Linked DNA regions of Saccharomyces cerevisiae S288C. Changing the gene in region 2 together with the main gene of any one other region gives a genetic interaction. Each region holds a gene or a part of one and is shown on either strand. Other genes may lie near its edges.

Region 1 (3,348 bases), on a different chromosome or scaffold from region 2:
ATACACTTCTTGGGCTAGAGATAATCCCTCGAAACCGGATATTGCCGATATATTCATTAACGAGCTCAAAGAAATCTGTCATTGTGAAGATTTGAATGTACCTTTAAAAATAGAGTGGTCAACGTTTTATTACTTATGTAGGAAAAGAGAATGAGGTTTACTAAATTAAAAGAAATATATAAAAAGCTGATTTTTTTCTTTTTTTAAATATTTCCCAAATGCTAATAAATATTAAAATATGGCAAAAAGAAAATAAGGTGTTGTTGCGCAGTTGGGAGTAATTTAAAACCGTCAACATATGCTCTAAAAATTTTATTGGCTCTAAATTCCGACCTCTGAATGTAATTATGTTTTAAAGCGATACGTAAACTTGTTACTGTTAACATTAAAAGATAATGCAATCATGGTAACATAATAAAGTCTCAAAAAATTCTTAATATTAACTATAACATATGCACTTCAGAAAGCTGTTTCCGGATCATATCTCATTATAAAAAGCTCAATTTATAGAAAAATAATGCGACAGTGCAAAGTAAACAACTAAATTTGGTGCCTACACCGCAAAACGATATCGAGTCTTAGAAGTATATACCTCACCACGTCTCAAAAGAACGCAGTCTCTCCATCCATCACGGTTGATTGCGTCAACATATCTGCCTTGTTCAACGGCAAAGCCAGATCTCGGCGTAAATCCATCACACAAGTTGTCACCTGTGTAAAATAGGACAGTTGGTTCTGTTGTTGAAACCTCCAATGAAAGTCGTGATGCCGGATGATAAGCCTTGAAGGCAGGGACGAGCTTGTTTACACTTACTGAGTCTGTCGTTTTCAAATTCTTATTTTCATCAACAATGAAAGCGTAGTCATAAATCGGGCCATCATCCTGCAGAATGGTAGGTTTGGAGGAGTCAAAAGTAGCAATTTTTCTTTGAACGATTTTACCGGTTGGAATTAGTGCTCCTTCGCTTACTTCCAATGATTTATCTGAGCAGAGCCTAACCTCCGTACCGCTAATGGATTTTTTATCCATAGTTTTGTTTAAATTGAAGTACGTGTGATTCGTCATGTTGATGGGAGTAGCCTCACCGCTGACCAGTTTTGCCTCGTATTCCAAGTCCAAGGTCATGTCAGCAACGTTCAATGTGTACTTTAAGTTTACAGCTAGATCTCCCGGAAATTCATTGGGCAGTGTGCGGTCATCCAATAACGTAAATTCAACAATGTAAAGGTCATCAAGAGGATTTTGGACTTTGGATGCCTTATACTTCTTGAGATGGAAGGAGCTGATGCTACTGTGGTTGGTGTTTCCACAATTGTTCACTGTCAACTGATGAGGTCCATCTTCCATACTGAACATGCCCTTGTAAATACGATTTGCATAACGGCCAACAGTAGCACCAATGTAGTTGTAGCCATCTGATATATAGCCATGAATATCAGGGTATCCTAGAACAATCGATTCGTTGTTCACTTTCAAGTCAAGCAAAGTAGCGCCAAGCTCTGAAATTGTTGCTTGAAGCTTTTTTGCATCACCAATAGTGATGACTTCATATTCACCGCCAGCCTTATTATTTGACATTATCACTTTTTGGCTTTTTAGGTGAATTTACTTATTGCAGTAACATAATGTACAATTGAGTTCCAGTACTTCGTAGTACATTCTGATTTTATATCTCAGAGCATCCAAGGTGTTTACGCATGAATAACCAAACCATGGAGGAGTTACTTTTACCTTTTTTTAAGATATTCAGCTAGTAACTAATTGTCGGAAAAACTTAACAGGTACAAGGCCATATTATCACGTAACAAACCTAATTTTTGTACGATATTAGTGCCCGAGAATTTCTCCGTAGCGTAATTTTCTGCGAGAATTTCTGCGCAGTGCAAAGATATGCGACCTGACACTCTTTACGAAACTTTACCCCTCCCCCACCTCCACCTGCATTTATCCCGTCAAAAAGTGTCAATCACCTGGATGCATAAGGAGGAAAAATTATTCCAAGGATGTTGGACAACGCGAATTTTGGAAGTGACTTCTCATAAGCTTCTGATCTCTACTATATTCTTGTAATTTGGTGGGGTAGTGCAGGCTTACTGTGCGATGAGCAAATCCAGCGTATTGCTCACAGCGATAGGCCTTTGAAATGATATTGTTTGAATGCAAAACGCAGAAATGATATTCAACTTCATAATCTCATTAAACAAGATAGCATGCCAATAGAATTCCATTTTTTCCGATTCTTAGGCCATTTACAACCAAGTATCAACTTTCGTATAATTTTATTTCCATAATTATACGCAAATGCTGCAGTAGTTGCACATAGAATGATGATACGACCTAATAAAGGAAAAGGGGAATCTGTTCTGAGCTGAAAACTGATTCAAAACTCAATTTGGACACTCGGTTCGGGTGCTGGCCAGCAATAGTTTAGTGTTATCATGTCATAATCTTCCTCATAGGTTTCAATGTAATATCGATAATTACAAAGTAGTTCCTTTTCATTTAAATTTATATGCAAGAAGATAAGAGTTGATGTAGCAGTGCACCAGTTTTGCTTTACAATTCTTACAGTTTTATGAAAAATAATCTCCAATATGCCATGCTGAACTGGCATTCTTTTTGAGTGCAAAAGGAGGTTTTGGAAAAACAAAGTCTTCTTCTGCGTGTTACTCTGAAAATGTTGAAAAATAAGCTGAATGGGGCATTACATGTTTTCATCCAAACATGCCTTGTCAATAACGAGATTCGCGACGTATTCTTTTAGTATTCTGTTCCTTTTTTTTTTTGCTCCGCGCGCACTTGAACATCTTGCATATTTTTCTTTTCTGTTTTCATCCAGAGGTTGTGTTCTAGGACTTTCTGACGGAGGAATATCATCAAATCATCACAATAAGATCAATTGCATGGGTTCCAGCACTTAGCCAAATGTACAAATCTTGATATTTACCGGAGACCAACCCTTAGTTTGAAGTGTGCGCTACCAGGGAATCTTCTTCGGTCATTATTTTCTATCTTCACGATAATCGATCCTCCTCCTATACGTTAATATCGACTGATATCTAAATACATCGTTGAAGAACGGCGGAAAAATACTTATTTTCAGGTTGTCTTCGTTTTCACTCACGATAGCAATATGGATCCTTTCACAGCTCCTATCACCGCTGTAGTTTTTTATGACGCTTAATTTCCTGTTAATAAGTAAATAAGGTAAGTTGAAGGTCCTTCATACTGTGATCTGCAATAAACCACATGGCTACCGCACTTCTTGTCACTATCCTATGTGGAGAAAACCCAGAAAAAACTTTAAAGCGTGATTGAAATCAATAATTTGGCAAAGAACTAGAACC
Region 2 (7,208 bases):
GTGTTGCAGAAGGGTGGAAGTGTTTTAAAAGACCATATCTCTCTGGAAGATTATGAGGTACATGATCAGACAAATTTGGAGCTGTATTACCTGTAGAAAATGCGCTGTTTTTTTTTTTTTGATCTAAATACACAATACATACATTTGCAACCGAGAGAGATAGAATATGTAGAAATAATAAGATGGCGTTGTCTCTATAATGCTTTTCTATTGTTTAGTAAGCTACAAGAAGTAATCAACATGTCTGTTAGAAGCAGATCTGGCTTGGTATACATCTGAAAATATGTACATTTCAGGGTCCGTGGAGCCATCTGCGGAGGCAGAGTCGTCTTCGAAATAATCTGCAATCAATTTCCTGTTGGCTACCGGATTAGATATGCTATCTTCTAAGGCATTGTCGTTCATACTGTTCTCTTTCAACAGTTTATTTTCAGGTGCCTCTTCGAAAACGTTGAAGTAGAATTGATCTTTACTATACAGCTCCAGAATAGATGCTTTATTGCCGCACCGATAACAATAGTTTGGCGCCGACCATACAGTAGTAACCAATCCATCAAAATATATCTGGTAACCTTCGTTACATAACTGATGGGCTCTGTATATTCTGTTCATATCGTTCATACGTAAGAATTTCTCCACCACGCTTCTTCCGAAAGTATAACCTGCTCCACGAGGTGACACCTGGAAATGTTGTCCAGAGTTATCTGGATGATCTAACGTGGGGTTATTGTTTTCTTCCGGATCAGACCAAACCAAGTCTGCCATGGCGCCATCGTGTGGAATTTCTCGAAATCTATCAATAATCTTGATCTGATCTATGGTTTGAACATTGGGCGAGAGCCCACCATGAACACAAAAAATTTCGTCGTCGATAATACAGCATAACACTAGATAGTCAAATATATCTGTCAAATATTGCCAAACTCTTGAATTGCCACCGTACTTGTTCAAGCACTCCGTGTAGAAACCATAGCTCTGCGTGATTTGACGTGACTCGTGGTTTCCCCTCAAAAGATGAATTCTACTAGGATATCGAAGCTTAAGCACAATCAATAGCATAATTGTTTCCACACTGTACAACCCCCTGTCTACATAGTCGCCCAAGAACAGATAATTCGTATCAGGAACAGGGCCGCCTATTTGGAAGATCTCCAGCATATCGTGAAACTGTCCATGCATATCCCCCACGACTGTGACAGGGGTCTGAATGTGAATCACGTTTGACTCCTTCACTAGCATTTCCTTCAGCTTAAAGCAGAGTGCCCTTACAGTCACTTCAGGTAGTAACTGGGCCTTGTATAGCCTTTCTAAACATTCGTCCAATTCCATCTCTACTGGGCCAATTCTCTAACCAAAAATAAAAGTACACAGTGGGGATACAACTGCAATGAGTGGAACTTAATAAACAGTCACGAACTGTTCCAAATTACCTACAACTCGCTGAAAATACCGCGTTTCATACCCTGAAACAGTGGGTATTTTAGCAGTTTTGCATTATTAATTACTGCTCCATCACCCGGGAAACTCGCGCCACTTTTCGGGCGTTTCTTTGTATGGAAAGAATTGATTAATCTGAAAAGAGTGATAAAGGTGGGTAAACAGAGATAGAAAGAAGCCAAATCTGCAGATTAGAAGAGGTTAGAAGATTGTAATTGTTGCTGCCCCAGTGTGTTATTGCCTTAGAGAGTAGTACTGTTAAAGAACAGCTAAGAACGGGTGTTTTCAAAACGAATTACTGGTTTACAAAGAATTCAAAGGAAAAAAAAAGGTTCCAGCATATTTGTTAACTTTTGTGTGAGCTCCGTCTGTCCTTCAAGTTACTATTGGGCAGTTTCAAGTACAAACAGTCTGCCATTACTAAAAAGAAGAGAAGCCTTTGCGTAAACTATTTGACAGGCACAAATAATGTCGCATTCAGACTACTTCAATTATAAGCCTTACGGCGATTCCACGGAAAAGCCCAGCAGCTCCAAGATGAGGCAGTCATCTTCATCATCTTCATCTAGACTAAGGTCGGAAAGTTTAGGGCGAAATTCCAATACTACGCAGGCTCGAGTAGCGTCATCGCCCATCAGCCCAGGGCTGCATTCTACCCAGTACTTTAGATCACCAAACGCTGTTTACAGCCCTGGAGAGTCTCCATTAAATACAGTACAGCTATTCAATCGTCTTCCGGGTATACCTCAAGGTCAGTTTTTTCATCAAAATGCCATTTCTGGGTCCTCCAGCTCCTCGGCAAGATCTAGTAGACGGCCCTCGAATATTGGTCTTCCTCTACCAAAAAATCCTCAGCAGTCTCTACCGAAGTTGTCTACTCAACCTGTTCCTGTACATAAGAAAGTTGAGGCTAGTAAAACAGAGAGCGAGATTATTAAGAAGCCCGCTCCCGTGAATAGTAATCAAGATCCATTATTGACGACCCCAACGTTAGTGATATCACCAGAACTGGCTTCACTAAATACAACGAATACATCGATTATGTCAACGCCACAAAATATTACAAACCAAACTTCGAACAAACACATTCCCACCAGATCGCAACCAAATGGGTCAACAAGTTCCTCCACTTTGCAGGATATTGTCACGACAAATAGCTCGCAACGGTCTGTAGGCCACCATGGTGGAAGCACAACGAGCCTCCGAACATACAAAAAACAATATGTATTAAATGAACAGTTATATTTAAGAAAAATGAGAAACCGTGCTAATGATGATTATTACACTAGAGGTATAGTCGCATCATCCAACTTTGAAGATGACGAAGAAAATTTTAGTAACAAAGGTGAAGATGACTTAGAACTAGAAATGGATGATCTTTTAAAGGTAGAAGGTGAGGATAAAGATAACGACTTCAATTTTGGTTATAATTTTATTACGTCGAGCACAAAAAATAATGAAAATGTTGTTTCGATGAGCCTAAATTATCTAAAGGGCAAATTGGATTGGTTGAGGGATGTGAACAATGATCAACCGTGTGAAATAGAAGATGAGGAGTGGCATTCCATACTGGGGAGCGAGGATTTGCTGTCAAAATTGTTACAAAATCCTATGGTGAACAACCGATTTGAATGGCAAACAATGTTATCTAAGGTACTGAAGGGAGATATTGTGAGGAATGAAAAAACGAAGATTGCAAATCAAGGGAAAGGCCCTGGCTTCAATACTCAGTTTTCAGATGACATTTGGATTGAGTTGAAGGCATGGATGAATGGGAGGACCGTGGAAGATCAGAACAAATCTCTGAGGATTTTTAGGGATTCTACTGACTCCGTATTTCAAGAAATCATGGCCTTTAAACTAGAAGATAATATGAGCGCTGACGAGGCTGCAGAGACTATCAAATCACTAGTAGACAAATATTATAGAGTCTTAAATCTATGGCCTAACATTAAAAGAATGCATGCTGAAAAACCCATTACTAAAACAGAAGCATTCAGGAATCGAATAGATACTTTGAATAGTTGGCTTAATTTCAAATTTAACTTTGATACTAATATTGCGTACCTGAAAAAATGGATAGTTGGCAATAAAGAGCTAGAAAGCACTACCGAAGTGGATAACACCACCGTGAATTTGGATGATCCAGCCGTTTTCGCCACTAATTGTAAACGCTTTGCGGAGCAAATTATGAAGGAAAAGGATATTGAACTGATATTTCAAAAAAAAATATTCTTTCCATTAGCACCATGGATTTTGAAGGCCAAATTTTTCTTCTTGAAATACCAAAAAACTTGGAATGAATTGAATCTATCTTATTTGGATCAAGATCTGGAATTTTTATTGATGTTTCCAATGCGTTTGGTAAAAGATATAATACTAATTCGCCTATCTTACGCGAAGAAAATACAGAATCCAACCTTGATGATGATCGATCAAATGATGGACGATTTTAGTACATATATTAAGTTGGCAGTCCAAATGAAATTCACTGTTGCTTCTTACTGTAATGACTGGTTTTTTAAAGTGAAAATCGATCCCGAATTTGATCATACCGTTGTTGAAGGATTGGAATATTTTTTCTCCATTTTGGAACTGAGAATATTATATAGTGGCAAAAACTCATTCAAGACTTCTAAAGAACCTGATCTGTTATTAAAATATTGGGAAATGTTTAGAAACGTCGGCTATTATATTGATGATGCAGGCGAACTGATCGCAGCAGAATTTACGAAGTTGACACTTAGATTGGTTCACAGATTGCACGCTTACCTTTTAAGGCAGCAAAACACTCCGCCAAAATTAGAGAATGAAGCTGCTGCTGAAAAATGGCTGGTGCAAATATTCGAAATACTTGGATCCATGAAAAGAAAACTCAATAGATTCACCAATATTTTGACAAAAGCATTTCAAAATTTTGTCCGCTACAAGATAGAAGATCACAACTATCTGCTAAAGCAACTAAAAGAAACAGGCCACTTTCTTATATACACAGGAGGTTACCTAGAGCAAAATGGTACTTATTTAATTGGTAGCCCAGAGCTATTAGGCTGTAAAGATGATGATATTTTAAGAATCATTAAGAATTCAGACATCGGTTGTGATTTAGTGCCTAAGCTAGAAATTAATAACAGTCTGACAATTTATAATGCTTTGGATGATAATTGGAACTCCAACTCATCACTGGGTTCAGATATCTCGAATGATGGTACCCCATTTTATTATATCAAAAACGATTTGACCACCCAGCCTAGATCTTATAACGGTAATAGAGTCAATCGTGAACCGGATTTTGAAAACAGCAGGAGCACGGAGGAAGAGTTTTATGAACTGGAGACAAGATTGAACTCTCTTGGTTATGTATTGGTATTGACTCCGCAAGAGCCATTACTTTGGGAGGGTGAGATGTATAATCTATCCGATAACAAAACAATTAAACCAGAGGGATTGAACTTGAAAGTAATTCCTAATTCAATAGATTTGATGTGCCAAGGATCCAGTTATGCCTTAGAATACCAATGTGACAGGTTCCAACAGATATCTGGTAGCTCAGTTTCTTTCTTGGAAAAAAAATCTTCCTCAGAAACGGTTAAAAACAACTTACAAAGGATAAATAAAGCATATTTCAGATGCACGTACAGTGTTCTGAAGAACTATACAAAGATTGTGACCACGTTCAAGAAGGTAAGTCCTGTCAATGATTTATTGAATAATATTTTCCTTTTTGGGAGGGATTTTGGTCTGAACTTTTTGAGAATTAATGTTGCCAACAATGAAAAAAGATCCATTATAATACTTTTAATGATGCGGTTAAGTATCGGATGGCTGAAGTTCTTAGCTGAAGACTGTGATCCGACTGATCAAAGGGTATTTAGGTGGTGTGTCACGTCAATGGAGTTCGCGATGCATATGGTAAGCGGTTGGAACATACTAGCTCTTGATGAATGCCAATTTTCTTCTTTAAAACAAAAAATTTCAGAATGCATGTCATTACTTATTTCTCATTTTGATATAATAGGCGCACGCTCCATAGAAGTTGAGAAAATCAATCAACAAGCTAGATCAAATCTTGATTTGGAAGATGTGTTTGACGATGATATGATGCTACAAGTGAATTCCGAGTTCCGAGTACAAAGTATAATGGAATTGGAAGAAAGGATAAAGCGGAATCCTCATCAAACTGGTAAAGTAATTGATGATAGTGACAAAGGTAACAAGTACCTTGTTTCTTTGGCATCTTCCATATCGAACGTTTCTATGAGATGGCAAAAGAGGAACTTTATTGGTGGCGGTACTTTTGGAAGGGTATATTCTGCTGTTGATTTGGATAATGGTGAGATTTTAGCAGTCAAGGAAATCAATATTCAAGATAGCAAATCAATGCAAAAAATATTCCCCTTAATCAAGGAGGAAATGAGTGTCTTAGAGATATTGAACCATCCAAATATAGTTTCATATTACGGTGTTGAAGTTCATCGTGATAAAGTTAACATCTTTATGGAATATTGTGAAGGCGGTTCCCTAGCAGCTCTTTTGGAGCATGGTCGTATTGAAGATGAAATGGTCACTCAAGTCTACACTTTACAATTGCTAGAAGGACTTGCATATTTGCATGAATCCGGCATTGTTCACCGTGATGTTAAACCCGAAAACATCCTACTAGATTTTAATGGTGTTATTAAGTATGTTGATTTTGGTGCTGCTAAAAAAATTGCTAATAATGGAACTAGATTGGCAAGTATGAACAAAATCGAAAACGCAGATGGTGAACACGAAGATGTTACCCATGTTTCTGATTCAAAGGCAGTGAAAAATAACGAAAATGCTCTATTAGACATGATGGGAACTCCTATGTACATGGCTCCAGAATCCATCACTGGATCTACCACCAAAGGCAAACTTGGGGCAGACGATGTTTGGTCGTTAGGCTGCGTGGTATTAGAAATGATCACTGGTAGACGGCCATGGGCTAACTTAGATAATGAATGGGCTATCATGTACCATGTTGCTGCAGGACATACCCCACAATTCCCTACTAAGGATGAAGTGTCGTCTGCTGGTATGAAATTTCTGGAAAGATGTCTTATTCAAAACCCCTCCAAGAGAGCCAGTGCGGTTGAGCTGTTGATGGATCCTTGGATTGTACAAATTAGAGAAATAGCCTTTGGCGACGATTCTTCCTCTACAGATACTGAGGAAAGAGAGTAGTTAAGTTGAGAAGGTTTGTTGTATTATATGTAAAATCAAAATATAATGTAGTGGGGGGAGAGTATATAATGTTAATTCAAGGATAGAAGATTAATGATAGCATTTTTTTATAATTGTTTTGATTTTGAGAACAGAAATTTATAAAGGTAAGATATAAAAGTGAAAATTTGAAGTCTAGTCGAGGTGGATTAATGTAAAACGCTCGCTATATATTTTATTGGAATTGACGTTAGCTATTATCAATCAGTTTTTTCATCTTGTTTGATTCTCTTATAGGTGAAGAAGACATCGCTTTTAACAATCGAATTGGCCGTCAATTCTTTCAAAAAAACGGTAGGGGTCTTGTCGAAAATGATCTGTTTGAGTAGAGACAAAACATTCACTCTCTCTTGGAAAACAAAGTTCTTAATGTAGGTTGGGTCAAATCCAGTAAACATCTTTGTTGTGTTAACTAGCTCCCAATGGTTGGTAGTCTTATTCTCGAATGGCAATTGAGAGGCGGTTGGCTCGTGGGTGATCAAGAAATCAAAGGAGGGCCACATTTCCTGCAGTAAAGTCGTATT

What was found. Genes that interact genetically often act in the same process or in processes that back each other up.
Region 1: mutations in SSK2 (region 2) and YHR210C together harm fitness more than expected from each alone (negative genetic interaction), as found in Saccharomyces cerevisiae (3 studies listed by BioGRID).

The regions. Positions count from the first base shown.
Region 1 is NC_001140.6:520,159-523,506, forward strand, and holds YHR210C (aldose 1-epimerase superfamily protein), read right to left. Parts: upstream 1,580-3,348; coding exon 554-1,579; downstream 1-553. Other genes in the region: CRG1 (S-adenosylmethionine-dependent methyltransferase), read left to right, coding at 1-154.
Region 2 is NC_001146.8:680,131-687,338, reverse strand, and holds SSK2 (mitogen-activated protein kinase kinase kinase SSK2), read left to right. Parts: upstream 1-1,905; coding exon 1,906-6,645; downstream 6,646-7,208. Other genes in the region: ubiquitin-like protein HUB1, read left to right, coding at 1-96; putative serine/threonine-protein kinase PPG1, read right to left, coding at 223-1,329; ALG12 (dolichyl-P-Man:Man(7)GlcNAc(2)-PP-dolichol alpha-1,6-mannosyltransferase), read right to left, coding at 6,885-7,208. UniProt on the Saccharomyces cerevisiae protein: Kinase involved in a signal transduction pathway that is activated by changes in the osmolarity of the extracellular environment. Activates the PBS2 MAP kinase kinase by phosphorylation.